Linked DNA regions of Kluyveromyces lactis. The protein of the gene in region 1 purifies or fractionates together with the protein of each later gene. This does not show direct contact. Links are inferred from orthologs where the notes say so. Each region holds a gene or a part of one and is shown on either strand. Other genes may lie near its edges. The genes, in order: RPF1, MAK11, KLLA0_E14257g, SPB4, RRP15, PUF6 and YTM1.

Region 1 (3,993 bases):
ACCCAGCTGAATGGATGTTGGACGTTATTGGTGCTGCGCCAGGTTCTCATGCAACTCAGGATTACCATGAAGTGTGGAGAAATTCTGATGAATATCAAGCTGTTCAAAAGGAACTAGATTGGATGGAATCTGAGCTACGTAAGAAACCGTTAGATACTTCTTCTGAACAAAGCGAATTTGGTACTTCTCTATTCTATCAGTACAAGGTTGTTACATTACGTCTTTTCGAACAATATTATAGAACTCCATCGTACATTTGGTCGAAGCTTTTCTTGACCATCTTCTCGCAGTTGTTTATTGGTTTCACATTTTTCAAGGCTAACTTATCCATTCAAGGTTTGCAGAATCAATTATTCGCTATCTTCACATTCACAGTTATCTTTAATCCAGCTTGTCAACAATACTTGCCTTTGTTCGTCTCTCAAAGAGACTTGTACGAAGCTAGGGAACGTCCAAGTAGAACATTTTCTTGGCTGGCATTTATCTTCTCTCAAATCACCGTTGAAATTCCACTTAACATATGTTTTGGTACCATTGCCTTCTTCGTTTTCTACTATCCTATTGGTTTCTACAACAATGCGTCATATGCCGGTCAATTAAACGAAAGAGGTGTGTTATTCTGGTTATTCTCTGTTTCCTTCTACGTATTTATCAGTTCAATGGGTCAATTGTGTATTGCAGGTCTTCAGTATGCTGAGGCTGCAGGTAATATGGCATCATTAATGTTCACTATGTCCTTGAATTTCTGTGGTGTGTTTGGTGGTTCTGGTGTTTTGCCAGGGTTCTGGATTTTCATGTACCGTATTTCACCGCTAACTTACTTTATTGATGGTGTACTCTCAACTGGTCTTGCAAACAACCCTGTAACATGCGCAAACTATGAATACGTCAGCTTTAATCCAAGGAGTGGAGAAACCTGTGGTGAGTACATGGCGGACTATATTGACAAGAATGGTGGTTATCTACTAGATTCAAATGCTACGGAAGATTGTAATTTCTGTAAGATTTCTGAAACAAACGCATTTTTGACAAGTTTCCAATCTTCGTACCATAGAAGATGGAGAAATTTCGGTATTTTCATAGTCTTCATTGTGTTCAACTGGTGCGGTTGTGTTTTCCTATACTGGTTGGCTAGAGTTCCAAAGAAGAAGAACAGAGTGGCTGATGAGAGAGACCCAGATCATGGCAAGAAAATTGAAAATGTTCAAAAGGAAAAGGTTGAACCTCAATCCAATGAACAAGTTTAAGGATTTTTGCTTTTTGGCCAATTTTTACGTCGTTTACTTCTGTTTTTTTTTAACTATTAAACTTCATTTCTTATCGTGGGCTTGCGTTCTGCTTTAATATTTTGTTTATTCTGTATATATAGACCTGAATTGATATCTGGTTTCCCCATATATTACTATGGAAACCAAAAAAAGAAACTTCGATTGCATATAAAGTCCCAATATAACTCGATTGCAAGTACGAAAATTATTCAATTTTAGCATGGATCTCTGTTGTGGATGGTCGTTGAGGTAATCAAGATCCTTTGATGGGATATTCGTCAGCTCACCCTTCCTACAATGATTGCAGCGACGAATGTGAACTCTTTTCTTTTTATCGAAAATTAGCTTTCCAAAATTTTGAAAGTTTTTGTATTGATCAGATGAGATGAGATGAGATGAGATGAGGCTAACAAGATAGAAGTTGAATATAGTGGAACATAGCTAGTTATGTAGCTTATTCTAGGTCAAATAGCGAGGGTGCATAACAGCAAATCGGACGATACTATAATTTCAAAATGGCAGTGGATGAACTCAGAATAAAAAACAAGCAGAAGAGGCAAAAACTCTTTGCTGAGTTGAAGGATCAGCACAATAAGGAGCGTCATTCTATGAGGAGGACCAGAGCCAAGGAAGAACGTGAGAATCCGGAATTGAAGGAAAAAAGACTTGCTGAAAATGTTCCTGACACAATTGATAACCTCAGAGTTTACGATGAAACGATGGGTCAAGAAGTCGAAGGTGAAATGGATGATTTTATGAAATTTTTCAACGGTACCGAACCACCAAAGATTCTATTAACAACTAATGTAAACGCCAAAAAGAAGGCATATGAGTTCGCTAATATCCTGATCGAAGTTTTCCCTAATGTGACTTTCGTGAAGAGGAAATTTGGATACAAGCTGAAGGAAATCTCTGAATTCTGTAATAACAGGAACTATACAGATATCGTGATAATAAATGAAGATAAGAAGAAAGTAACGGGGCTTACATTTATTCATCTTCCAGAGGGGCCAACCTTTTATTTCAAAATAAGTTCTTTCGTCGAAGTCGAAAAGATCGTGGGCCATGGTAGACCAACTAGCCATATTCCAGAGTTAATCTTGAACAATTTCAACACCAGACTTGGTAAAACTGTGGGTAAACTATTCCAATCTATTTTCCCTAAGAACCCTGATTTCGAAGGTAGACAAGTGATAACGCTGCATAATCAAAGAGATTACATCTTCTTCCGCAGACACCGTTACGTTTTCAGGAACGAAGAGAAAGTAGGTCTTCAAGAACTTGGGCCCCAATTTACTATGAAACTCAAAAGACTACAAAGAGGTATCAAAGAGGAAACAGAATGGGAACACAAACCTTCAATGGACAAAGAAAAGAAGAAGTTCAATCTATGATATATTTGCATATATTTATATACAAATTCAAAGCCACCTGTGTACTAGTCCTGCACTTGGAGATTTATCAAAGATTTGACGGTATTATCATCACTACTCACGAGGCTGACGAAAAGTGGTGGCAAAATGAGAAATTCCTTGGCTTTAAAGAAAACAGGGCATTGAAACCTTTAAAGGATTTGGAATGTTTTGGGCTTAAATGAGTACAAGCCCACTGTTGAAAAGATTAATTGAAACAAACGGTTACTCTGTTGATCTGAAGAGGTGGTACACTAATTGCTCTTTAGGATTGTCATATTCTTGGTCATTATATTTGATCGATTGCAATCTAAGAAAAAGTATTTTTTCAGGCTGTTTGTTATTGTTGTTTTATTGGAAAGGAATTATTAACACGATCGATCACTGGGAAAGTAAACACTGACAGTAAAAACACTAAGCCACTTTACTCTTTTTTTTGTACACTGTTGCTATTACCTCTCTTTTGTTTTCAGCATCTTAACGTTGATTCTGGACTCATTTTGAAAACAACAGGAAATATCTGATCCAATTCTGTCTTGTAACTAAAGCGAATTGGGAGAATAAACACACTTGATATCATAGCTGTCTCAATTTACCACATCGGTTTCTGATATTTTGAATCACTTTTGATTCAAGAATTACGAGTTCTCTTAAATTATATTAGTTTATAAGCAAGAAAAGGGACTGGGCACAAGTAGAGCAATGGAAAATTCAGGCGCTTCTCAAGTGGTCGCAGCTTTGGAAGTAATTTACGATCCAAAATCAGATAATGCGAAGAGATTGGATGCACAGAAGTTTTTGGACGAAGTGAAAGAGAGAGAAGAATCGCCGTTTTGGGGATATGAAATAGCTCTCAATAACCCACAGAATTCAATATTAAAACATTTTGGATTAGGGTTATTGGTAAACGCCTTAAAGAAAAATTGGTCGGGTTATGATGAAGAAAAACGGATGGCATTAAGAAAGTGGATCATTGAACTAAACTACAGGGTGCAACCGAATGATCCAAGATATATTAGAGAGAAGCTAGCTTTCCTTTGGGTCGAAATAGCGAAAAGGATCTGGGGTGAGGCTTTGAAAGTGGAAGAACCTACTGAGGAACAGCTAGCCGAATCGTGGGTCGATATGGATAGATGCCTAACAGAACTATGGCAGATGAATGAGGCGTCTAGAGAGCTAGTTCTCATAATCTTTAGAACGCTTTTCGAAGACACGTTCTTACTTGAAGATGTTGCCGTGTTGAAGAGATTGCCCATTATTCAACCGCTCTGCATAATGATTGTCTGCCCAATGGATGTCTTCAGTGTGAAATA
Region 2 (4,277 bases), on another chromosome or scaffold:
GATAGATGGCCTTTTCACAACATTTGACCCTTGCGGAGAGTTTTTCTTTTTATTCAACAATTCATTAAACTGCATTAAAGGAACCTTAATTGGATGGAGTGTTGGATTAACTCGTAATAGGCTTCTCAATGAATTTTTGGAATAAAGATACATTCTAATGTTATCGGCTGTTATCACCTCAGTTATATCCATTTGAGAGGCGTTGATGTATCTCATGTACGACATCAATTCCTGTTCATTTTGAAACCTAGACCTTTTTCTGAAGTGAGTCTTTTTGGTGTAATTTCTTCGCAGTGAATTAACAGAATTGTGTCTTTGAGAAAAGCCCTTATGGAATATGAACTTCTTATCTTTGTTATATTTCGCATACTCAGACTGAACAGAGAAATCCTTGCGCCTAACTGAAGAATGCGTTCTTTTAAGCGAATTGTGCCTATTCATTTTTTGTTTTATTTTCTTAGAAGAGTAGATAGGCCATTTGGTGAATAAACTCAACAGCGAGTCGTTATTTTGTTCCAAACCTTGTCGCCTATTCTTATTGTTCTTTTCCTGTTCCACCTGGAACTTGTCAAAATCGGTCATATACGGTAAAGCAGTCTTTCCGGCTTCTGGTGGTGCATCCTCCCCAAGCAATGTAACTGTGGGTATGGGTGCTGCGATTGAAGTAACGGGACTCAGTCTAAGACTACGTCTGTAAAGTTCTTCTTCGTATGGACTCAGCAGTAATTTATCATTGGGACTTCTTTCTTCCAACGTATTGACCAAGTGAATATTTTGTTCATTCAAAGAACGTTCTTGCATCCCACTTGTATATATAGCTCTGTTTGAATCGACAAGAGACTCATGTAATCGACTCCCGATGTTATTAGAACTCAAATCGATAACACGCCGAGTATCATTATTTTCACTAGAGTAACTTGACATGGCTTGAAAATTCAGCTCTTATTCCTTTCTTGAAACAGGCTCAAGTAACTTCCCCTTTTCAAGTTGTGAATAGAGAATATTTCTTTGGATTAGGACTGATGAGAATCAGAAAGTGCTATGCTCTAAATGGCCACTCTCGGAAATGGCTAATGAAACGTCTAAATATGGAATAGTAGAGTTCTAAGTTCTAATTAAAGATTTCAAATCCGTATCTAGATCTCTTATTGATTAATGGAGGAACATGTATTTTCCCGATTCAAAGTCTTTAAAGATCAGATCAAGTTTGTCACCAAAAATAATTAGCACAATGCTTGAACATTCATCCTAGGAAATAAAAACGGATTATCCATCAATACACACAACATTGTTTCCGGACCGTTTAAGCAAACAACTCGAACATTGAGAGCCTACACCACTTAAAAAATGCTGCGTCACTTTATTTTCCGCACTTTCTGTCCGAAATCTCATGCTAAAGAAACTAAGCTTAACAAAAAATGCTGGTTGTCGAAAAAAAATACAAACAAACCCTTTGAACATTGGGAATTTTTAATAGATTGAACCCAGCACATTTGAAGGAAAGAAAACCTTTTAAAAAGTTTACCCGGAAATTGAACAGTTTCTTTTTTCTTCCCATCTGGATCTGGAAAGTTGGAAAATTTAAGATTGAACATAGTCAAAGAAGCGATGAGATGAGATGAGATGAGATGAGATGAGATGAGTTCAATGAGCTTTCACATATATAATTTCTTCAACACCGATAAGTGCTCCTTTTGTTTTCACTGTAGAAAGAGAGGTTGAAAAGGTCTTCTATTCAAATGCCGGATAATCAGTTTAGAATCATTGTGGGTTCTTACGAACACAATCTATTATGTTTATCTTTGAACTTATCGTTAACCCAACCGCTATTCACGCCAATATTTCATTTTCAAGCGCACTCATTGAGTGTGAAATGTCTAGACATATCAAAGAGATACCTAGTATCAGGATCGAACGATGAAAATATAAGAATCTACGATTTACAAAAACGTAAAGAATTGGGGACGTTGTTAGGACATCAAGGTTCCATTACGAATTTGAGATTCTCAAGAGGTAAAGATGCCGATGGCCAGGATATCCAACTCAATAAATGGCTACTATCTGCATCTGAGGATCATAAAATAATAGTATGGAGAGTGAAAGACTGGGAAAATTTCGGAACCTTGAAGGGCCATACTGCCAGGATCAACGATTTCGATATTCATCCTTCGAACAGAGTTGCAGTCAGTGTAAGTGAAGATCATTCGATCAGATTATGGAACCTCATGACTGTTAAGAAGGCAGGTGTATTGAAACTAAGGAAATATAATCAAAACGGACAGTTCGTTAGATGGTGCGGGGAGAATGGGTCGTATATTGCTGTTGGTTTGTTGAACAAATTGCTAATTTTCAAGACCGAAACAGCAAAGGTGCATAGAGAAATCGATTTTAGCAGGAATACATTGATGCATCTAGAGCGTGAAATCATTGATGGCGAAGAGTATATTGTTGTTGGATTGAACAGTGGTGCCGTTCAATTCTGGAAAGCATCAAAACTTTACGAAGAAGTGCCAGATGAAGAGGAAGAATCACCTAAGTTGGAAGCTGAATTTTCACTATTGGGTCACAGTAACCGTGTAAAGGACTTTCAATTTTACCATAACAAGTTTGGTCATTATTTAGTTACAATCGGATCTGATGGAAGAATTGTCGTTTGGGACATGAAGACTAGGGATCAAGTTGCGGTATACGATTGTGGTGAAAGATTAAATTGTGTAGCTGTATGCGATGAAAGTATTGAAAAATATGATACCGTTAAGAAGAGAGCACCAGAAGAAGTTGAGGTGGGAGAACCAAGTGACGTAGAAGCTGATCCTGAGGAACTCAAAAAGATCATGCTTGGGAAAAAGGCCAAGAAGAGTAAAAAGAAGGGCGGAAACAAGAAAAGGAAGGTCGAAGTTCAATTAGAATAGAATGCTTCAGTATTGTTTTGTATATATATATATATATATATATATATAACTAAGGCGAATAATATACAAAGTCTCAATCGCGGTCTACATCATAAAAGGACCCTTTAGGATTACTAACAACCACCTTCCCAGAAGATGAGGATACGAAATAGAAAAAAAAAGGTTCAGCTTCTATAGCTTAGATGTTCTACCAACCTTAGCAGCGAACTTTTCATATAGGTTTCTAGCCTTGACCCACACAGAAGCAGTAGCTCTTTGAGGTAACTGCTCCAAGGATGGTAATAGATCACGAGAGAAAGATTCTGAGGCTTCCTTTGGTAACAATGAAGGCAAATGATCAATAGAACACACGGACAATTTTGGACCAACAGTGGTTGGAACTTGTACTGTTGGTGCATCAAACGTAGTGTTGATGGTGTAAATTGGAACAGGGTTATGAGGATTAGTGGTATCAGCAGAAACGTCAACAACAGTTCTCAATCTTCTGGTTGGCTTATTCAATAGTTCATTGTTGATGAAAGGAGGAATAGGCTTTGATAAGTATATACAGTTGATGAAAACATCGGCATCGGCGATTTCTTGGAAGGGACCACCACGAGCAGTCTCCTTCATATCCCATTTGATGATATTTTCTTCTGGCAATCCACACTTACGTAGTAAATCAGCAGCACCAGAACCACATCTACCCAAGGCACCAATAATCAAAACCTTAGGCTTTCTGGCACCTCTCTTCAAAGCTAATTGGTAGTCTCTGCGAACATCCTTGATCATAGCTTCTTCGTTTTCGTATGGTTCAATAGCTCCCAAATTCTCAGAATCTGAGTGGGTTTGCTTGAAAGCCCAGTCTCTGATACCGACTGCTGCGCCGGCAAAACCAGCATAGAACCCAAATGCAGCTACTCTTCTACCTTGGTCATTTTCCAAGAATTCAAGGTCGTACAAAACACCATTACCTCTCTTGAAACGGCTCAAAACATCTTCCCAACCAGCTTGGTTCTTGTAACAATGAGCAAACTGGATGTGTTCGTGAACTAACGGGAAAGTATCAGTCTCTGGCATTTCTTTCAAGCCAATGATAATACGATCGCGTGGAGCGGTCTTCCAAGATCCTTCTGGAACAATAGTGGCACCGACCTTCTTATATTCTTCGATATCAAAGGCAGATTGGGAACTCTCTTCAACGAAAATCTTGAACCCTTTATCCAACAACTTCTTGGTAGTAGTTGGTGTCAAGGCTGTACGAGCCTCTAAGGGCTTAGTTTCTGCTCTTAAATGTAGTGTAACACTCATTGTTAAAATTGTAATTGTCTCTTTGTTTCTCGGATGTTCTCAGTACTATATCAAAGTAAAATATCGATGAGATGA
Region 3 (3,800 bases), on another chromosome or scaffold:
GTAGCTATCAGAAAAAGGACATTTTCTGACTCGCAAGGTGAATCTGACAAAAGACTCAAAGCATAAAACGTCGTAATGTCTTCTTTGGATGGTTCACTTGTCAAACAAGCTGGTAACTAAGACTTATTACTTCAACTTCATGAATTGTCAAATTAACATGCGAGAATTCTTTTCTCATTTAGATAAATAGAAATCAAAGATAGTTAGTCCTTTTTGGATTATCTTGAGTTTCGACCACGATGTCGTGGATTACTAGCGCCTTAGCGGCAAGAATTGTCTACTGCTATTTTACTTTAAGAGCTTTCTTCATTATAAGAAGAATAAGTTAGGCCTGATATTGATAAACCAAATCTGTACTACTGGTAATGTATTAACCGCGATTAAATTGAAAAATAGCAAGTTTTGAGAATATGGTACTGTCTCTTATTGAACAGGATACTGTGAAGTAGTGACATTAGGGACTTGGTCTAGAGGGATAGTGATGTAAAAGTTGATGATGGACATTTCGATCTCCTGATCGGGTTTTTCTGTACTTTCTGGACGATAACCTGGGGATTTAATTAAGAGCTTCGCATGTGTTATGTAAACTATTTATGATGTTCTTTGGTTCTTCTTCGATATTCTTCTTGGTATATGCCGTCTAACATACATATAAATGTAGAACAATGATAGATATATCGTCAAATTCGAATGGAAGAATTCGATGAAGAAAACTCTATTTATATATTTTCGGGATTTGTTGATCAATAACAATATGCTATCGTATAGATCCTAGTTCATAGCGGCTCCAGTAGTATATTTACTGCTTCTGAAAAAAAAATGACACCTTAGAAGTTCTCTCACAACTCCATACAATAACATCTCCACTACCTTCTTCCCGGCTTAATTTTTTAATATTTATTATTAATTTCCTATTGAAACAGAAAATATATTTATTTTTCGGAATAGTAAAACTATACAATATTTTAAAATAAATTGAATTAAGTTTTATTTAAATTAAATAGATAATTATAAAAAAAGTAAAAATTTATTTATTTCTATTATGAGAAAATTAATAGATATTTTCTCTAGAAAAATAAAAGAAGAATTAAAACTAATTTGAAATTATATTTTATTTGCACGTGATATATATACATCACTTTGTTCACTACTGTCTTGTTTAATATACAACATAACTATATGGATTATCATTATTATTACTATACTTAAAAAGACAATTGAAAGAAAAACTAATATCATTCGGATATCTGACATTTAAACTCCAGCACAGTGTACCTATATTACCTTATACTAGTCGTGAGTTGTGTACTCTGTATCATCTTATTGTTTCTGATCATTTATTCATTTTCTATCATTATTATATTTTTTTATATTTTTTTATCTAATTTAATTTATTCTATTTTATTTTAATTGTTTATTCTATTTTTTCACATTGACATGCAGGAATTCAAGAAATAAAGTGTTACCAAGCGAAAAGAAATAAAAATAAAACTTTTCGATGATGAATTGAGCTCATCTCATCGCTTTGGTAGAACACTATCACAACTACTACAAAAGCACAACTGGACTTGAATTTATACCTCTGGGTACGCTGTCTACTAGTTAAACCGCGAGACAAGTCTGAATTTACAATAATCAGACTTATAGAAGAAAAATCCTTGACGCATAACAATCCATCGAACTTGAAAGATGGCTCCCAAACAATCAAAAACGGCTAAGAGATCCAAGAAACAAAATGGAACGAGGGAAGTAAGATCAGAAGTATTCGAGGACTCTATTGCCAAAAATCAAATGGCAAACGTGCCTAAAATGACTGAAAAATCTGATACCAAGAAACCAACCAAGTTACAGGTGAAGAAGGATAATTTCAAAGCACGTCTATATGGTAGCCAGAAGAAGAAGGAAAGACGCTATACCGAGAAAGAATTAAATATTCCAACACTTAATAGAGCGATTGTACCTGGTGTAAAAATCAAAAAGGGTAAAAAGGGGAAGAAGTTCATCGGTGATCATGATTTAATAGCGTTAAACAGATTAATCAAAACGATAGGTGATAAAAATGATGAAATAACAGAGAGCAAATTAGAGAAGACAAGGAGACTCGAAGAAATTCGTGATCTAAAGAGACAAGAAATGGAAAGAAAAGAAACCGAAAAGAAGGAACAACTAGAGGGTAAGAAAGATGAAATCAAGAAGAAGGCATCCGTTGCCAGAACTATTCGTAGGAAAACCAAAAGGCAAGAACTGAAACAAGAGACATTAGCAGCTCAGTCTGAACCTATCAAGAAGAAGAAATCTGTCAGCTTTGCATAGTTAATACATCAATTTATATATGCATATGTGTGTATGTAAATGGAGGAATCGATAACCTTTTAGCATCGATCATGTGACTAAACATATTAAAAACATTAGATTACCGTTACTGTAACAACTGGAGTTAATCAGCGTTTCAGCCTCAACACAATTTTGGTGTCAGCAGCTGTTCAAAGATTCGGATATGAGGGCGCATGTGTGTATCCGGCTGCCATGTCGGTCTTCTATTTTCTAGTCATTGTTGATGATGAGAGAACAGAGACATTTCAACGTTGTTGGGGACTTCCATACAATGCAGATTGAAAAGTGGGACATTCTTACGATTCTGAAGCCAGATGATAAAAAAAAAAAAAAAGAAAACTGACGCTGCTCTGCCAGATACCGTTATTGACAAGATGCTTTCAGCTGGTAAACACAAGCACCATTTTTTTTTACGTGACTTAACTATTCTGAGTTCATCTAGTATTCTGGTAAAGCAACGGTCAAAAACTCATCCCTTCAGAGTTTGGCATGTGATTAACAAGGAGGAGACAAAAGGGTCGTCAATTTAACCCGTTCCAAATGCAATGATCGTCGGTTTATTCTTTTTTTTTTTGTCAACTAGTTGTATTTAATTTACAAAACTGTCATCATTTTAACCTTCTCCACATTCAATAACATTTTAAAGGTCATAATATAACGTATGAGAGTTACACCTCTTTCGGTGCCGAATAGATCAATAGATCGATTAATTAGCAACTGATTACCGCGTAAACCACTTCATTATCACGATTTATAAAGTATATAAATGATGGTAATTATAGATCTTATCGAATTTTGAAATATGGACTTCAGTTTTGCACTGACGTCTTCCCTTATTTTATGTATATTTGAATATTTCGAAATAATAACAAGGCTGACTCAGGAACAATCCTCAAGGCACATTATTTATATTATCAATTATTTTCGGCATGATGCTCAAAAACTTTACGCAAACTAGATTGTTTCATTCTAGTAGACATCTATTGAATTTGAAAGCTGCAATTGCTGACGTTATACCAAAAAGAAGAGAAGAATTACTACATATCAAGAAGAACTTTTCGGATGTGAAAGTTGGTGACATTACTATTGGCAGCGTTATCAATGGTATGAGAGGAAATCAATCTATGTATTGGGAAAGTACCACATTGGACCCCAATGAAGGAATAAGGTTCCATGGGAAAACTATTGCTGAATGTCAAAAGTTGTTACCTGGCGCGCCAGAAGATAATGGGAAAGGTGAATTCTTACCAGAATCCATGTTATGGTTATTGATGACTGGGGAGGTACCTTCAGAGGAACAGGTAAGAAAATTGACTCAAGAATTGGCTGAAAGAGGTGCCAAGTTACCACCTCACACGGAGAAGCTATTAACGAGCTTGCCTCGTGACATGCATCCTATGACCCAATTGGCAATTGCATTGGCATCCATGAACAAGGGATCCATATTCGCTGAGAAGTATCAAGAA
Region 4 (4,805 bases), on another chromosome or scaffold:
GAACCATCTAATTTGCAAAAGTTTCTGAAATCATGCTCACCTTCATAGTGTTTGGCTGCCAGTTGCATCCTTTCAAGATCCAAACCCTCTGAGCTGAACAAGTATTTGTAATGTCGACTTTTACAGCTGAATCTGGCATCAAAACCTTTTGGTGGCCGTAGGCAAACTGCAGATACTCTGATATCTTCTGGTAAAATCTGGTTTAAAATATTAACATATTGAATCTCCTTGTCGTCATAGCTGGGATCAAGCTGCTCTTCTGCAGTGAGATTCGAACGAACTCTCAATGAAATTACTTGATTCATGGCACTAACGCCTCTGTCTGTTCTTCCACATCTACTAAACTTATATTCTTGAGGAACCATGGACGGAACAAGTTTGCATTTATTCATGGTCTCTAATATCGTACCCTCGACAGTAGGTAAAGGAGTCGCATCTTTTTGAATTGCCAATCCGTTATAGTTCCATCCCAAATAAGCAAACTTGAAGGCGACAAACCGTGTGTTGTATTTGGAGAAGTCGAATTCCCTTGATTTCCTAGGTTTCTTGACGTTCTTTCTTCTCTCTGCTTCAACAGCAGCGTCCGCAGATCGCTTTTTTACCTCAGCCACGGTATCTGAGTTATTTCCTTTAGCATCACTACCATTTTCACTAGTATTTTCCAGCTGTAGCAATCGCTCAATCAACTGTTCCCTGGTCCAATTCTTATAAGCAGACTGGTCAGTGGACATTGCTGACACAGTGCCTTTACCATCTAGTTTGAAAAGTTTTGATAAAAATCCCATCCCAGTATATGTAGTCTTGAAAGAATTATATCACAAGGCTAATATAACTTCATAGAAGTTTAACAAATAGATCATATCAAACAAATTTGAATACAAATTGTTATGAATGGAACAACCATCGAGAACAACGCCGCATCAATGCCAATCAGCATTAAATGCAAGTTTGTACAGATTTAATGGAATTTTTTTTCTTTTCTATTGGGATGGCAGCTGGAAAGAAAAAAAATAAGTTCAAGCTCATCTCATCTCATCGGGAAAATGTATCCAGATTAAATCAGTGTGAACATATGCATACATTTGAAATCCAGGAGTAAGATTTGACCAACAAGGTATAAACTCACCACTCCAAAGCCTAGTCTAAAGTTTCGAACTGATACAAAATGTCGAAGTCGTTATCGTGGGACGATTTGAAATGCGAGATACAACCATGGATTAGAACGGCTATAGAATCGATGGGGTTTGAGACCATGACGCCAGTTCAAGCCTCAACTATTCCGTTGTTCTCTGGTAACAAGGATGTCGTGGTAGAATCTGTTACAGGATCTGGTAAGACTATAGCGTTCGTGATTCCAATTTTAGAAAGGTTGATAAAAGAAGAAGCCAATTCGGCCAAATTCAAGAAATCACATTTCCATTCGTTAATCATTTCACCAACCAGGGAATTAGCCAGTCAGATTCATGATGTGATAGAAGACTTTCTGAAGTATTATCCAGATAATCTGTACCCAATACGGTCGCAATTACTCGTCGGAACAAGTAGCGCTAGTGTTCGAGACGATATCAATAGTTTTACAGATAACAGACCCCAAATACTAGTTGGTACTCCTGGGAGAGTCCTAGATTTTTTGCAGAAGACTAATGTAAAGACTGCTTCCTGTGGTACCGTCGTGTTAGATGAAGCTGATAAGTTATTGGATTTGAATTTCCAGAAAGATGTAGAAACCATTTTAAAGATGTTGCCGAAGCAAAGAAGAACAGGGTTGTTTTCGGCAACAATCGAAAGTGCGGGTGCGCAAATCTTCAAAACAGGTATGAGAAATCCAGTGAAAGTTGCTGTGAAGTCTAACTCGAGCGCACCTTCATCTCTTTCGATAAACTATATCGTCATTCCACCTAAGGATAAATTACAACTATTGTTGACTCTACTCAACAACTACAGATTCAAGAAATGCATAGTTTACTTCCCGACATGTATCTCGGTCACATATTTTTACGCATTCATAAACCATTTGAAAGAGCTTAATTTGATTCAGGATGATCTAAAACTCTTCTCACTACACGGAAAGCTACAGACGCAATCGAGAATGAAGACGCTTGACAGTTTCACTTCTAACTTGACCGATGCCGTACTATTCACCACAGATGTTGCTGCTAGAGGGATAGACATACCAGATGTTGATCTAGTTATCCAACTTGATCCACCAACAGATGCAGATATATTCATTCACAGATGTGGTAGAACAGGTAGGGCTAATAGGATTGGTAAGGCACTTGTGTTTTTAAATGAAGGTAGAGAAGAAGATTACGTACCATTCCTGGAAGTGAAAAACGTCAAACTAGAAGAAGAATCTGTGGAACTGAAAGGCGTAGAGAATCTAACCAAAATATTCCACGATTGGATTTTACACGATAGAGCAAGATTCGATCACAGCGTAAGAGCATACGTTGCATTTATAAAATACTACTCAAAGCATACTGCATCATCGATCTTCAGATTCCACTCCATGGATTTCATCGGCGTTGCGAACTTTTACGGGTTGTTACGTCTGCCACGTATGCCCGAAATAACCAGGTATGCTGCCGACCAAATTCCGGAGGAAGGTTGGTTGGTATCACCACCAGTGAATTTAGACACATTTGCTTACTTAGATAAACAAAAGGAGAAGGCGAGGTTACAAGAATTACAAAACCTCAAGCAAATAAGCGATAAAAAGAAACTGAAAAGTGAGCTAAAGAAGAAGAACATGGCATGGTCCGATAAGACACTAACTAAAGAAGCCAAAGCTGAAAGAAGAGCAGCTATGGCCATCAAGAGGAAGGCAATTGAAGAGAAACTTCTGCGGGGCGATGAGGAATCAGAAGATGAAGTTGAGCAAGACTGGAAAGACCTTGTAAGACAAAACAAGAAAAAGAAGCATAACTCCATGCAAGGAAGTTTCGATGATTTATAGTCAATTACATATCGTAGATAAATCTATTATAATATAAATGTGCTTGTTTCATTCGAGTCCCCGTCATATAACAATGTGTTTTCAACCGGTACATATTGATGTGTCAATAATTTCACGCATTCTTGTGATACCATTGCACCAAGAATTGATGCCATCGCAGGGCTGACAAACGTTGTATCATGTCTATCGTTTTGTAGCGATAGCAACTTATTGAACTTCGGTTTTTCACTTATAGTTCTAGTTGCCGATGAGAGGCTACCCATTTTAATTGCATCCAAATGTTTTAAGTTCTCGAGCATTTTATCTATGAGTGGTTCAGGTATCAAACTATAATTCTCCTTTGCTAGAATGCGCATGATTTCTGATTTATCCTTGGCAGCTTTACGTTGATATACTGCTTTCTGCGCGTTGAATAGTTTAGTTGAGGATTCCATATCTGGAATGAATGCGGACACAGGTAAATCGCCTCTCAAATCGTAAAATATTCTGATGCATCGTACAAATTGGTATACCCATCGATTAATTGTAGAATTAGGTTCAGCATGAAAACTATTCAAGATGTTGGTCAAATTGTGAGGAAATGGTCCTGATTGATCGTATAACAGGAATGAGGACCTCTCTGCTTCCACAAAGTTCAAATCATTGGTCAAGGGTCCAGAGAGTATAGAATCGTGAAGTTCGATGAACTCTGCCCTCACTGATTTTCTATTGATAGGAATATTCTTTGACTTTAATGATTTTCCCACATTGTACAGTAGAACGGAATAAGGCAAGGAGGATACCTCTTCCTGTGACATATTTTTTACATCGAATGATTCGTGATATTCTGCTAGTTCAGGCCACATACGATTGAGTCTTAAATCGAAAGTGAAATGTCCATGAGAATCAATGACACAATGAGGTTCACTGCCTATAAGACGAACAAATCCCAAGTTATCGTTGGTGGATGCCATTATCAGAGGAACTGCTGAGAGTTTCATGACACGTTGTAACAACGGACCAGCCGTGCACAAACATATGACAATAGAGAAAGAGTTCCATAACTTATGTTGTGAATCAATTGGAACTGCATTCTCGTTCCAAATATGGAACGTAACATCTGGATTCATACTTTCTAACGCATCAAAACCTAAAATATCCGAGTTTGACTTGTTCACAAAATCTGATCCATTAGACGAGCCAAAAACTACAGTAATCTCATGAATACCCATGAGAGCCAAACTCTTGACACATTCTCGCATCAACAATGTCTGATTATCGTCTACAACGCACACATGAGACTGAGAAAGTAAATCCTGGCCTGAATGGCCCCAGATCATCAACTGTCGATCATAACGGTCATCCAAACCACCATTTATCTGATCAGCCATAACCTGTACCAACGCCCTTGGTCCTTGATCTTTAACACTAGTTCTAATGCAAGAGAGCCCGCCTTGATTGGAATCAAATGACGTATTTATCATGAGATGAGCTTAAAAGTTCAAGCGAATCAGTTGGATTACCAAAGTTCAAGCTAGATCAACTGCATACCGTTACCCGGACGAGTACTTCAGCATTACCCTAAAACTTCATAAGAGACTCTAAAGAGCCAACATAAGGCCGGCAATACACTGTTAGTTCGTCATTTCCTGGCCCTGTTTTTGCTACGGCTATATCATAAACCAACACCACCATCACCAGACAAAGCGGAAGCAGGAAGTACTATAATATCATCCACCTACATACGATTCTTTCCAGTCTCGAATGATAAGCCGAAAAGAAGAGTCGAACAAAAGTTTCTGAAGAAACCAACATAGAGAACCGTGCCCGCAATTTGCAAAGAAGAGAAAAATTGCGTGGCTCATGCCAT
Region 5 (3,884 bases), on another chromosome or scaffold:
CTTACGTTGCAGCGATCATTTCTCATGCAGACTATTTGTTCAAGCAAGAAAACAGTGTTGTTGAACTTGATAACAGAGAAAAGCCGGATACAAGAATTTCTGTATGTGGTGACACGCATGGTCAATTTTATGATGTTCTGAACATCTTCAAAAGTTATGGGAAAGTAGGCGGCTCCAATGTATATTTATTCAATGGTGATTTCGTAGACCGTGGATCATGGTCTTGTGAAGTGGCCATTTTATTCTATTCTTTGAAAATCGTGTATCCACAGAACATTTACTTGAACAGAGGTAATCATGAAACCAACAGCATGAATAAAGTGTACGGGTTTGAAGACGAATGCAAATACAAGTACTCCCAGCGCATTTTCGATCTTTTCTCACAAAGCTTCGAATCTCTACCATTAGCCACTGTCATCAATAGTTCATACCTGGTCGTGCATGGTGGTTTGCCAAGTGATACTTCTGCCACTGTAGAAGATATGAAGAAAATTGATAGATTCCACCAACCACCAAGAGAGGGAACATTTATGGAGTTATTATGGGCGGATCCACAGGCTCCGGATGGATTTGGACCATCTCCTCGTGGCTTAAGTAATGCGTTTGGGCCTGACATTACTAGAAAGTTCTTGAAACAGAATAATTTAAAGCGAATCTTCAGGTCTCATGAAGTTAGACAAGGCGGTTACGAATTTGAGCATGAGAATCAATTGGTCACTGTTTTCAGTGCTCCTAACTACTGTGACGCCGGTGGCAACCTCGGTGCAATCATTCATGTTGTTCCAAACACAAAATCTGAAAAGAAATCATCTATCGACAGCGACTTGGTAATAGAAACTTTCTCTGCTTCACCACATCCAGATATTAAACCAATGGCATATTCAAATGGAGGGTTAGGATTTTGATCCCTCATCTGACCTGATCTGATCTTTTTTCGATAAAGTTGTAATTAATAATATTATTAGTCTATTATACAGTCTTTGGGATTACCTATATATGTACATAGTTTTGCGCTTTAATAAATGCAGATGATTCCCTCTATCATATAGAACTTCCTCTTTTCAACTGTCACCAGCAGTTTTCACCAAATCAAAGAACTTCTCCTTGGAAACCTCCGTTATCAACTCTTTTCTCTCTGAACGGTTCTTCACACCACCCAATGAGTCATTGATTTCCTTTTCAGTCTTAACCTGAGTAGAGAGAATTGCATTGAATAACTTCACAACACCTTTCTGGGCAATCTTTCTTAGTTTACGTTCCTTCTCAAGAATTTCTCTAATTTCATCCGAGTTTGCGTCTGCAGCCACAACAGGTATAATATCTTTCTTTCTAGTCTTATTGAGTAGTTGTTTCTTCTCTGTGAGTATAGCTCTCTTAGCCTTTTGCTCTAACTTATCTGCTTCATTTTGCTTTAAAACTTTCTTATTCCTAGCCATAATGGGATCTTTACGGTCGTATGCTTTCAAATGCGATGATAAAATATTGGTTAACGCGCTGGAAAATGTGGATGATCCATCATCGTGTTTGGATTTGGAAGACTTCTTCTTTCTTGGGAAGTCATCGTCATCTGGTTGGTTCACCACATCTTCATCGTCACTGTCTTCATCACTGGCGTCATCACTCGACACTTCATTTAGATCCATTTCATCGTTATCTATTTCGGAACCTGTACTGCCTTCAGAATCCACATCAGAATCTACTTCATCAGCCAATTGTGATACTTCATTCTCTTTGACTTTCGTTTGAGCCCTGATCTTTGCAGACTTGTCATTCAACTTGCTCTTTTTGGTGACAGGTATTGTCACTTTACCCTTGCTACTCATAGTATTTTCAGGCGGCTATACAATACAAAGCTGTCCACTGCACAATCTACCGGCAAGTTAACCTTCTATTGAGATAGTGTGAATTCAATGATGGATCCTAAAGGCCCAGATACAGTCTTGAAAGCGATGAGATGAGTTGTGCTTCACTGAAATTTTTTTTGGCATGTTCACTAACAAAAAGAAATACATTCTATCAACACACCCATACACCACTGCAAATTTGACGTTGGTGGAGCCGCCGTCATAAGAAACTTGAAGCTGAACTCTCTTACTAGCCTGTGGTTCCCCGACTGTTGGGTTTATTGGAGTGTGGTGTATCTGTAATGGTTCCTCTACTTGTTCAAGCTACCCAAAGAAGGTTTGTTGTGTACTGAAGCCGGTTCAGTTTCGAAATATGTCACATATACTAGTAAAGATGTAAACAAATAATAAGATCAACCGAAAACAAAACAATCTTGAAACACCAAAGGAGACATAGCAATTGAAGAACGTATATAAACCAGTACCGCTTTGGAAAAGACGTGTAATAAGGTAGTGGGTTTGACTAAATTAAACTGGTTGGCTGATAATCAAACGGAATATGAATGGACCGCCGTCAACGCCAGAAAGATGTTCATCGAAGGACGGTTCTAATATACCTTCTCCAACCCAGCAGGGTTCAAGTTCACCAAAATACAAACCAAGGCAGTCGATAAGATTGAATCCAGAAGATGTACAGAGTATAAACAGAAGAAGGTCTCTCACGCCCAGTACTGAAAATAGAAGCTCAACTCATATGACATTCTTTTACAAAGAAAACCTGAAAGAACTGAATAGATTGCAAGAAGAGTTGTCCAGAAAAAAGATCAAGTTGAATACCGCACAGGATGAGATGAACTCGTTGAAAAGCAAAGTGGAAACTGTAGAGTTCAAAATGAACAATTTGAAAGAGGAGAAACAAGTGAAAGTACGACAAATCGGGTTAAAGCAGAATGAATTGAATAGCATGGATCAAGATCATGAATTGAAGTTAGAGTTTATGAGAAACGGATTTGATCTAGAAATAAAGAAGATAGAGGGAAAATACCACTGTGAAATGAATGAAACAGAGTCGAAATTCAAATTTGAAGTGCAGCAGATTGAATTTGAAAAGATTCAAAAGTTTAAACAAGAAAAGGAACATTTATTGAAGGACATACATAACTTAAACGATGAGGTAAATAATAATGACAATGTCATTAACCAATTAAAGGAAGAACTTGATAAGAAATACTCAAATCTTAAAGAGAAGTGGATGGTAGAGTTTCAGACGGAATGGAAGAATATCACAGAAGCTAATCAGTCCATGATTAAGGATATCAACAAGTTAAGTCAAGATATAGAAAATGACATGACTAATGAATTGGATCAATCTAAAGACAAACGTAACATTTTAGAAAAGGAGCTAGCAAAATTGGAAGAGAAGCTTAATGAGAAGAATGTATTCAAGGAATCTATTACTGTGCAAATAGACACTGTCGAAGAAGAAATAGAGCAAACTATCAGTCAACGGAAAGAACTCAATGAGTATATCACTAATTCCAAAAACGAACTTTTACAAATCAATGAAATACTGATAAAAGAGGAGACAATGCGTCGTAAGCTTCATAATGAACTACAGGAGCTGCGAGGAAATATCAGAGTATACTGTAGAATAAGACCGCCTTTAGAAAACGAAGTGCAGGATATATCGCACATTCATGTATCTAACTTTGATAATAGAAATGGATCGCAAGCAATAGAGATAAGCAATGAAGATAGGAACAGCAGATTCTTATTTGACAAAGTATTCAGCTCTAATGCATCAAATCGAGACGTTTTCGAAGAAGTTGGCCAGTTGATTCAGAGTTCACTGGATGGCTATAATGTTTGCATATTCGCTTATGGTCAAACTGGTTCTGGAAAAACTTATACTATGATGAACGATCCTGATGGTGTAATACCAATGACATTAGATCATATCTTTGACTGGACGCACCTCTTGAAGGAAAGAGGATGGGATTATTCATTTGAGGCTCAATTTATCGAAATTTACAACGAACA
Region 6 (5,064 bases), on another chromosome or scaffold:
GCTAACAGGTGGTCAATTGATCGCTTATGCATGTGGTGCTGGGTTGAATAAAGTTCATAACGGTTGGAGAATTTTAGTCGGACTTTCTTTGATTCCAACTGTGGTGCAATTTACATGCTTCAGCTTCTTGCCAGACACTCCGCGTTTCTACGTGATAAAAGGTAACTATAAGAAGGCTGCAGAAGTTTTACAAAAGAGTTACATTAACGCTCCCCAGGAACTTATCGATCAAAAAATCCGTGAACTATCAGATTTGAATGAGGCTATCCCAGGTAAGACCCCTGTACACAAGTTCTTCAACACTGTCAAAGAATTACATACTGTCCCATGCAATTTCAGGGCATTGGTGATCGGTTGTGCTTTACAAGGTATTCAACAATTCTGTGGTTGGAATTCTTTAATGTATTTCTCTGGTACTATTTTTCAAACTGTTGGTTTCGAAAATTCTACTGCAGTGTCTATCATCGTTGCCGGTACTAACTTCGTATTCACTTTAGTCGCTTTCTTTGCGATTGATAAGGTCGGTCGTAGAGCAATCCTTTTGATTGGCTTGCCTGGTATGATGGTTTCCTTGGTTATGTGTGCTATCGCCTTCCATTTCCTAGATATAAAATTCACTGGCGCTGGTGAATCGGAAGTTTCCAATGGTGGATTCAGTTCTTGGGGTATAGTCGTTATCGTATTCATCATGGTATATGCAGCATTCTATGCTCTAGGTATCGGTACTGTACCATGGCAGCAATCTGAATTATTTGCAACATCCGTTAGAGGTGTAGGTACTTCTTATTGTACAGCTACTAACTGGGCTGGTTCCCTAATTATTGCATCTACCTTCCTAACAATGTTACAAAACATAACACCGACTGGTACATTTTCATTATTTGCTGCACTAGCTGCAGTATCTACCGTCTTCTGTTATCTCTGTTATCCAGAACTATCTGGTCTAGAATTGGAGGAAGTACAAACTATTTTAAGTGATGGATTCAACATCAAAGCTTCCAAACAACTAGCCAAGAAGAGAAAGCAACAAAATAGCGAAATGCAAAGGAGATTTAGAGAAAAGGACATGGAAGCTTATCAAAAGGATAAACCCTCCGATGAACTACTTGAAAGTTAATGTAAATGCAGTCATTCCCTCTTATTCTCATACCCGAAGCTACTGTCTTGGTTTTTCAATGAACTTCATATGAAGTTGAGTATATAGATAACCATAAAATCTTTTAGAATTAACAACTATAGCTGCTAAAGTTGTCCACAATTACTACTGTAATATTATCATTGTCATGTGTAAAACTCAACTTGTTTGTGATTTACAATAAAAATCTCGTTAGTTTGAAAGGGTGACATTTACTCATTTCATAATTAACTAACTCGGAAGAGAGAGCTTTCGAGAAATAGAGCTAAATCTTTGAAGCATGTAATAAACTGCCATATTCGGTTTAATCAGCCAAATCCTGTACCAACTGTATATTCCCCCCATCAAAAAAAGAGAGATTCTGGCGAATGTTTATTTGAGTTCTTTCTTTTTAGCATATTATGAAAATTTTCTGAACTTGAAAAAGAAGCGATGAGATGAGATGAGCTTATACAGTAGTAACTGCACTATGGGTAGCATTAAATAACAACATATACATTCTTATTCTCTCTCGTAGGACAATACAGCACTACAGATATGGCAGCCACGTCGAAAAAGTTGAACAAGCGTCAATTGGAATCTAAGGAGTCGAAGGATTCTGGTAAAATTGTAAAAAGAGCTAAAAACATTAGTGTTGATTCTGGCGATGAAGATTCTGATGATGTCCTCCACGGTTTATCTTCAGAAGATGAGCTAGATGATGAATTAGATGATGCTAGCTCAAATTCAGATTCAGACGAGCTAGACAACGAATCTGATCAACTGGATGAATCTGATGAGGATCAAGAAGATGCTGAAGATGAAGAAGATGCTGGAACCGGAAATGATGCAGACAAAAAAGAAAGTAATGGTGTCAGCCAGCATGCCGAACAAAGAAAAACATTAAAGGAGAGAAAACTTCAGCGTAAATCTGGTGAAACAGTCCAGCAGATCAAGTCTTTATGGGAAAGATTACGTGTCAAGAACCCTCCAATTCCAAAGCCTGTCCGTGAAAAGCTATGTAATGAGATCTGGGAACTCTCGAATGATTGTATTGAAGATTTAGTATTGAAGCATGATGCATCCAGAATTGTCCAGACATTAGTCAAATATTCTTCCAAAGAGCGCAGAGAACAGATCACGTTGGCATTGAAAGATAAAATTTATGTTTTGGCCACATCATCATATGGTAAATATTTGTTGGTTAAATTGTTACATTATGGTTCCCGAAAATCTAGACAAATCATAATCGATCAACTACATGGTAATTTGAGAAAACTAATGAGACACCGTGAAGGTGCCTATGTGGTCGAAGATTTGTTTGTTCTTTATGCCTCTCAAGAACAAAGAAATCAAATGATCAGAGAATTTTGGGGTTCAGAATACGCCGTATTCAGAGAATCTCATAAGGAACTTACGCTCGAAGAAGTTTGTGCTTCCAGCGTAGAAAAGAGAAATATTATCGCTAGAAACTTGATTGGTACCATCACTGCTTCTGTTGAAAAAGGTTCGGCAGGTTTCCAGATTTTACACGCAGCAATGAGGGAATACGTCAAAATCGCCAACGATAAAGAAACATCTGAGTTCATCGAACTTTTAGAAGAGAACTTTGCGGAATTAGTGCATACCCCAGAAGGTGCAGAAGTTGCATCTACTTTAATCGCTAAAGCAAATGCCAAAGAAAGAAAGGGGTTGATAAAGACCTTGAAAGAACATGCAATCAAGTTAATTCAAAATGAACACGGTGCCGTTGTTTTCATAACTTTATTAATGACAGTCGATGATACTGTTCTCGTCTCCAAGGCATTTTCCCCACCAATTAAGGAACATCTTCCAGAATTGATTGTTGATAAATTTGGTAGGAGGCCGCTCTTATTCCTACTTTTAGGATTAGATGGTAAATACTTCGGTCCAAATATGAAGAATGAACTACAAAGATACATTAAGATGTCGGAAACTACTTCCAAGAAGCCATTTGACCAAAGAAGACTTGAATTATTAAAAAGGTTCGCACCAATGATTTTATCTGGCGTAAACGAACACTACAAAACCATTCTAGATGAAAACATCGGTTCTCAATTTGTCGCAGATTTACTCGTTAACGATGATGTCTATGAACAACTTTCAGAGTCTGATCAAAAGTTGTTTGCCGAGCTTGTGGACACCGTCGCCATTTATTTCAAAGGTGACATTTCAGAAGAAGACCACCCTATTAACAAACCATTTTCGGCAAGGTTGCTAAAGTCTCTCATTCAAAATGGTAGATACAACGTGAAAGCAAGAAAACTAGAACCTCTAGAAAAAGTTCAGGGACTTGGTATTCCATTTGCTGAAAAATTTTATGAAGACATCATTGATTCCAGCAACCTACTCGATTGGATCAACAAACCCAACAGTTCTTTTACCATTGTGGCATTGTATGAAGCCTTACATGGGACTGAAGAAGGGGAACAATTCGATCATGATTTGAAAAAAGTGATCAAGAAAATAGAGACGAACGATTCAAACAAGGGTGCTCAACTACTTCTAAAGCTAATGAAGCATTGAGTATGTATAGTCAAGTCGTTATATAGTTTGGCTCTAAAATATGTATATTAAAGATGATATAGCTTCTCATCATTGTGGACGAAGGACGTTCTAGTCTACTATTAAGATTCACACTTCCTTAAATGAGACTATCATCTGCGAACCAGAGATAATACAGCTAAGAACATTTATTCCTCAATTCACTAATTACAGCAGTGGCATTGATGGCTTATGAATGACGATACTAAAGAGAAACCCATTTCAACTGCCTTTGAAGTAACCGATGGATTATATGCTGTTTCACCATTAATCGAGAATGTGCCTCATGAATATGAGTACTCATGTATCGAATATTATGGTCAGCACATCTACCTGGGCTCGACTTCAGGAGCGTTACTACACTATTATGAATTAGATGTTGGAAATTTCACACTGATCTCGGAAGTCAACTTCAATGAAGACAGACCAACAGGAATTGATGGCATAACGCTACTGCCGAAAATTGATAGAGCCTTAGTGTTGTCCGAAGGGAGACTCAAAATGTTTCTCCTGCCTGAATTTGCACCTGCTTCAAATATACCAAGTATTATGAATATAACAGAACTTTCACTTTTGGAGTTCTGTGAGAAAACACAATGTTACTCGTGTTTCTTATACACGAAGAACTTGGTAAAGCGAGTAAGCATAACAAGCAAAGAGATAAAAGTCGAACAGAAGTATAACATCAAGAGAATTAGAAAGGCCATTCCTTCAAAAGACGCAAAACTCCTTATGGCAGCTGTTGATAACTCTTACTCGATAATCCATCTTGAAAATGAGCTGGTAACTCCTTTATTCAAAGTGTCTGAGACAGATGATGAGGAACTCTCACCAATTGTGACAAATTTTGGAAAAAGTGAATATATCGTCACATGTGGAATATCAAATGACCAAAACTGTATGGGACTTATATTAAACGATGATGGAGAAATCACTCACGGTACCGTGGTTATAGAAAATTATCCACTCACAGTTATAGTTGATAATCTGTATGTGCTATCAGAATTACATGGTTCTAAATGCCTTCAAATTCATTTAATAAAAGAAAACAACGACCCAGTAGTTATACAAAATGTTAGAAATCAAACCCCGTTTCATATTACAAAGTTGCAGACTCCTTTCATAACGAGACAGTTTAATAAAGAATTAATTGAAAAACTAAGATATGTCCCTTTAATTGCAGAAGAACTCCAATTTCGAGAAGAACAAGAAAAAGCATATGTGGCCAGACAAATTGCGGTTGAATGCCACATGATTATCTACGGAAAATGTGGTATATATTCTTTATGCCGAAAGCCATTTCTACTCACCATTTCGAGCTATGGCGAAGATACTCTTCCAATTTTGAAGTCTTTCATCACTGAAGAGTCACAAAGCAATTACCA
Region 7 (4,436 bases), on another chromosome or scaffold:
TTCAGCAACAGCGATGAAGGCTGCTTTTTTTGATTTGCCAACCTCATCTCCATTGGAGTCATAAACTGAGATTCCTTTACGGATTTCGCCTCCCCTCATCAAGAATACATTAACTATACCTGCTGATACAACAGCTGCGAAGGGTACAAGACGTCCCAAGATCATTTTAGTGTTTGCTGATAGATGTTTCAGCCTTGGAACTAGTTTGTTCAAACCTACTGCCACACCACACGATGCAGTGACGGCCATAGTATAATTGGTAATCAATTGAGTGGTGGACATAGGATGAGATTTGTTTGCATTGGCCCCATTAACAGCAACATTCAATGATTGATTAGCCCATTGCCAGAACAGGGTACCAGCGGTACCCATATTAGGAGTTAACATACCAGCAGTAACTATCAGATTTGAGGGCACACAACAGGACATACGGAATGGGAGAAACACAGTTTCACCAGTATCAGGATGAACAGTAGAATCTAGCTGTTTCTTTGCATGCCAGAACTCAGGCGTCGTTTCTTTCAACTCTCCATGGCGATATGCACTGATGATTTTGCGAGCTTGTTGAAGATCATCACTGCTCGTTAACAACATCGTTGGATCAGAAATCTCTGCGCAGTGACGAACACGTCCCCAATAGGTGCTTAGATCATAACGAGATTCTGGTAGGGCAATTGGACCTGGGACACTGGATGCCATGATAAGCTGTACTCAAGTGTATCGAAGTCTTTTGGATGAGCTGAGCTTCTACGAGACAAACACGACTTTGTTCTTGCTTAATTACTTTCGAGATGAGATGACTCTTTAGATATAAATGCATTATTCTCTCGAGCTTGCATTTTTTTTTTTCATTCTGCAGCGTCAGAATGATACGTACGGCGTTACAAAGCTGCTGGAATTCTGATAAGAAAAAAGACAGTAATTATTGATCTAGCAATAGGTTATTATAATTCTCTTATTCTCGGAGAAACTGTACTAGTGAAACGATGATGATTCCAACCACTTCGATTTCCAATTTAGCAATAACATATTTGTCTTTGCCCTAATCATATTCTTAACATGTCTAAAGGTAATATGATAATTTACCCGGACAACTAATTTTCTCTGCCTGAAAAAAAAAAAGAACAGACATCCAGTATAAATTGAGAAGCTTTTCACCTTGAGAAAAAGACAAGGTTAAAGCAAGTACTCTAAGTTAATCAAATTCGAGTCGACTGTTCTTTTGATTATTTGGCTTAAAAAAGTGATACGAAACATATTAATGCCTTCTATTCACTGTGCCATCTGATACACCGTAGATGAACAGAGGGGAAAAGAACGGCTAGATGAAAATTCTATCCGCGAGCGTACCTCATACTGATTAAAGTACTTAACTATTTTTCATCAATTGGCTTTAATTGGTAGCTGCGTGAGCGGGACATTCTCTATCTCTTGTCACTCCTGAATTTACTTATACTTGTATATACCATATATTACTCGTGAAAATGTTTAGTATTACACGGTCATTAGTCTGTCACTTAGCTATTGGTGTACTGACTAATTTCCACTACCCGGTTCCTTAAAACATATACACGTGACTGGCATTTATTTCTGGCGGATTTCTTTTTCGAGCAGTGGTTTGTTTCCCAAAAATTTTCCAAGCTCATCGCATCTTACAACGCTTAGAAAATGTACAAGATAGGAAGAATAGAGTTAACGCGCTCCATCGTACCTCAGTAACAACGTGCGATCACAATCTATTAGACAATTCAAACTAGAATTCACTGGAAGAATATCTTAGTTATAAGGAGAAGTAAACTGTAGGGGAATATGTCAACAGATAAGACTCAGGTGAAGCTACGCTTCTTTACTCGTGAAGAAGATGAGACTTTACATGTCAATGATGCTCCAATCTATGCTCCAGTTAGTCTAAAGAGATATGGTCTTTCTGAAATTGTTAATCACCTACTGGAATTACCTAAATCTATGCCATTTGATTTCCTTATCGATGGTGAACTTTTGAGAACATCGTTGCAGGACTATTTGATCAAGAAAGGTTTATCATCGGAAACCTTTTTGAATGTTGAATATACTAGAGCAGTGCTACCACCTTCATATTTGTCTAGTTTTGATAACGAAGATTGGGTAAGCTCATTGGATGTCGGAAGCAATTACATCTACAGTGGTTCCTATGACGGTATCGTAAGAACGTACAACTTGTCAGGGAAAGTCGAAAAACAATACAGTGGTCATTCTGGCCCTATTCGTGCTGTGCATTACATTTCTAGTACGAGATTGGTGTCCGCAGGGAATGATCGCACTCTACGTCTGTGGAAAACGAAGAATGATGATTTGAAATCAATTGATGAAGAAGAAATTGAGGATGGTAAGACATTGGCCATCTTGGAAGGTCATAAAGCCCCTGTAGTGTCCATTGATGTTTCGAAAGACCGTATTCTATCTGCATCATGCGATAATACGGTGAGCTTGTGGTCCACGAATTATAAAGAGATGACTGTCATTGATCCGATGGAGGATTTAGGAGGCAACGTGTCTACTGCAGCCAAGAAGAGGAGAAAGTTGACTCTAAAAGATGGATCTATCAGAAGAAGAGCCCCTTTGGCTCTTTTTGAATCTCACAGTGCTCCAGTAGAGGCTGTCATTTTCGATAAATCGGATGATACTGTTGGGTATTCCGTGTCACAAGATCATACTATAAAAACATGGGATCTGATAACGGCAAAATGTGTCGATACAAAGACGACATCGTACTCACTTCTTTCTGTTGCGCAACTACCAAAATTAAATCTCTTAGCATGCGGGTCGAGTGCCAGACACATTACTCTTCATGATCCTCGTGTAAATTCTTCATCTAAAATCACCCAACAGCAGCTTGTAGGTCACAAGAACTTCGTTGTCGCTTTGGATACTTGTCCAGAAAATGAATATATGATATGCTCTGCATCTCACGATGGAACTGTCAAGGTTTGGGATGTTAGGTCTAACACTGCAATGTACACTATCACCAGAGAAGATAAAAATGTTGTTAAAGGTGTCAATGATAAAGTGTTTGCTGTCAAATGGGCTAAAGGCGTAGGTATCATCAGCGGTGGTCAAGACAAAAAAATTCAAATTAATAAAGGTGATAATATATTTAGTAACTAATCGTAATTTTATATATTATATACAGGAATTATGCTCACTAGTTCACTTAAATATAAAAGAAATGTACCACAAAAAATGTTGAGAAACAACATAGTATTTGCAGGGTTCTAATGTTAATTATCTTTTTAGTTCCGAATGGAATTTGGCTAGACCATAAAACCCTTGGAATAAGGATTCGTAGTCTGTTAGGTAACCATTCAAATTTTTAACATCAACCTGGTTGGAATGATCTTCCCATCCACGTAATTTACGTAGTCTTGCTAGCTCATCGTATGTGAATTGTACTAGTGGTCTAGTTCCGTATTTCAACGGTCCAACATTAACCCAGTGTAAACGTCCTGTACAATTGTTAGAAAGCATCTCAATAGCATTGAAGTAATCAAACATGTTTGCTGCTGTGTCAATAAAGAATGCAGAACATACTATTATATTTTTGTATTTTTTCTCTGGTTTATAGCAGCAAAAGTCACCGAAAAGTACTGTTAAGTTCTCTGGCTTTTGGAACTTATCCAAGTCCATCCTAAAGTGCCTGGTTTGCGCTTCCATACTTTGTTGACCACTATAAATTTGATAGAAGGGATCAACGGTGATATTGTCCGTAGTTCCGAGGACATATTCGTTACACAAATACATCAAAGACGAGTATTCAATAGATGTAACCTTTGCTTTTGGAAATCGATTGGCTGCCTCATAAGCTAGCCTTCCACATCCAGATCCTGGTACAACAATTAATGTGTCTTCATCGATGTCACAATTTCCGAAAGACTCCTCAATGAAATCTACAAGAGGCTTTCTTTCCAAATCATAAACATCACACCAATCTCTGACAATGTGACACATGGCTTCATTCACACGGCTTTGGTTACTCTTTTTAGAAAATCGAATGGAATTTATTGAATCGCGAACCAATGTGTCATTTTCTTTGTCCCATGTATAACCAGCGTCTCTCAGTACTGATTCAATTGCTGAGTTAAAATCATTGTTAACAAGTATTTCCTTTAGAGTATATTCTATAATTTTGCTCAAGGTGTCATAATTTACATCAATTGATTTGTTCACGGCAACTATTTTATCGAAATAACCGATCTGGTTAAGCTGTTCTATATCACTGGGAGTTACGTTGCTTGTTCGTTGATAAACTATCCCGTTTTGTCTTAGAGCTCTGATCTTGTACTCACACAATTGTGATAATGATGCAGCAATATCTTTAAGTGATTGCTGCTTCGTAAAATAAGGCGAATCGACTAGTTTGAAGTTAGCAGAGACCGGTGGATAAGACTGTAATGTTGTTA

The links.
Region 2: the proteins of RPF1 (region 1) and MAK11 purify together in Saccharomyces cerevisiae (affinity purification with mass spectrometry; 3 studies listed by BioGRID, with this or other methods). This does not show direct contact. The link is inferred for Kluyveromyces lactis from reciprocal best matches to the Saccharomyces cerevisiae genes RPF1 and MAK11.
Region 3: the proteins of RPF1 (region 1) and KLLA0_E14257g purify together in Saccharomyces cerevisiae (affinity purification with mass spectrometry; 3 studies listed by BioGRID, with this or other methods). This does not show direct contact. The link is inferred for Kluyveromyces lactis from reciprocal best matches to the Saccharomyces cerevisiae genes RPF1 and LOC1.
Region 4: the proteins of RPF1 (region 1) and SPB4 purify together in Saccharomyces cerevisiae (affinity purification with mass spectrometry; 3 studies listed by BioGRID). This does not show direct contact. The link is inferred for Kluyveromyces lactis from reciprocal best matches to the Saccharomyces cerevisiae genes RPF1 and SPB4.
Region 5: the proteins of RPF1 (region 1) and RRP15 purify together in Saccharomyces cerevisiae (affinity purification with mass spectrometry; 3 studies listed by BioGRID, with this or other methods). This does not show direct contact. The link is inferred for Kluyveromyces lactis from reciprocal best matches to the Saccharomyces cerevisiae genes RPF1 and RRP15.
Region 6: the proteins of RPF1 (region 1) and PUF6 purify together in Saccharomyces cerevisiae (affinity purification with mass spectrometry; 4 studies listed by BioGRID, with this or other methods). This does not show direct contact. The link is inferred for Kluyveromyces lactis from reciprocal best matches to the Saccharomyces cerevisiae genes RPF1 and PUF6.
Region 7: the proteins of RPF1 (region 1) and YTM1 purify together in Saccharomyces cerevisiae (affinity purification with mass spectrometry; 4 studies listed by BioGRID, with this or other methods). This does not show direct contact. The link is inferred for Kluyveromyces lactis from reciprocal best matches to the Saccharomyces cerevisiae genes RPF1 and YTM1.

What each region holds. Positions count from the first base shown.
Region 1 is NC_006042.1:2,011,406-2,015,398, reverse strand, and holds RPF1 (rRNA-binding ribosome biosynthesis protein RPF1), read left to right. Parts: upstream 1-1,783; coding exon 1,784-2,662; downstream 2,663-3,993. Other genes in the region: KLLA0_F21692g (pleiotropic drug resistance family ABC transporter), read left to right, coding at 1-1,247; karyopherin MSN5, read left to right, coding at 3,383-3,993. UniProt on the Saccharomyces cerevisiae protein: Essential protein. Required for biogenesis of the 60S ribosomal subunit.
Region 2 is NC_006041.1:715,737-720,013, forward strand, and holds MAK11 (Mak11p), read left to right. Parts: upstream 1-1,739; coding exon 1,740-2,912; downstream 2,913-4,277. Other genes in the region: NIS1 (Nis1p), read right to left, coding at 1-924; LYS1 (saccharopine dehydrogenase (NAD+, L-lysine-forming)), read right to left, coding at 3,084-4,202.
Region 3 is NC_006041.1:1,261,132-1,264,931, reverse strand, and holds KLLA0_E14257g (Loc1p), read left to right. Parts: upstream 1-1,689; coding exon 1,690-2,313; downstream 2,314-3,800. Other genes in the region: histone acetyltransferase catalytic subunit HAT1, read left to right, coding at 1-66; citrate (Si)-synthase CIT3, read left to right, coding at 3,264-3,800. UniProt on the Saccharomyces cerevisiae protein: Required for efficient assembly and nuclear export of the 60S ribosomal subunit. Involved in asymmetric localization of ASH1 mRNA.
Region 4 is NC_006041.1:1,267,736-1,272,540, forward strand, and holds SPB4 (ATP-dependent RNA helicase SPB4), read left to right. Parts: upstream 1-1,165; coding exon 1,166-2,956; downstream 2,957-4,805. Other genes in the region: pseudouridine synthase DEG1, read right to left, coding at 1-785; ULA1 (Ula1p), read right to left, coding at 2,983-4,419. UniProt on the Saccharomyces cerevisiae protein: ATP-binding RNA helicase involved in the biogenesis of 60S ribosomal subunits. Binds 90S pre-ribosomal particles and dissociates from pre-60S ribosomal particles after processing of 27SB pre-rRNA.
Region 5 is NC_006038.1:956,582-960,465, forward strand, and holds RRP15 (rRNA-processing protein RRP15), read right to left. Parts: upstream 1,824-3,884; coding exon 1,062-1,823; downstream 1-1,061. Other genes in the region: PPT1 (protein serine/threonine phosphatase), read left to right, coding at 1-905; KAR3 (Kar3p), read left to right, coding at 2,404-3,884. UniProt on the Saccharomyces cerevisiae protein: Constituent of pre-60S ribosomal particles. Required for large subunit rRNA maturation, in particular processing of the 27S pre-rRNA at the A3 and B1 sites to yield 5.8S and 25S rRNA.
Region 6 is NC_006039.1:1,047,441-1,052,504, forward strand, and holds PUF6 (pumilio-family RNA binding domain-containing protein), read left to right. Parts: upstream 1-1,672; coding exon 1,673-3,661; downstream 3,662-5,064. Other genes in the region: myo-inositol transporter ITR1, read left to right, coding at 1-1,117; CORVET complex subunit VPS3, read left to right, coding at 3,872-5,064. UniProt on the Saccharomyces cerevisiae protein: RNA-binding protein involved in post-transcriptional regulation. Component of the ASH1 mRNP which transports the ASH1 mRNA to the distal tip of the bud, where the ASH1 protein is translated and targeted to the daughter cell nucleus.
Region 7 is NC_006039.1:646,381-650,816, reverse strand, and holds YTM1 (Ytm1p), read left to right. Parts: upstream 1-1,809; coding exon 1,810-3,144; downstream 3,145-4,436. Other genes in the region: FSF1 (Fsf1p), read right to left, coding at 1-699; KLLA0_C07403g (uncharacterized protein), read right to left, coding at 3,262-4,436. UniProt on the Saccharomyces cerevisiae protein: Component of the NOP7 complex, which is required for maturation of the 25S and 5.8S ribosomal RNAs and formation of the 60S ribosome.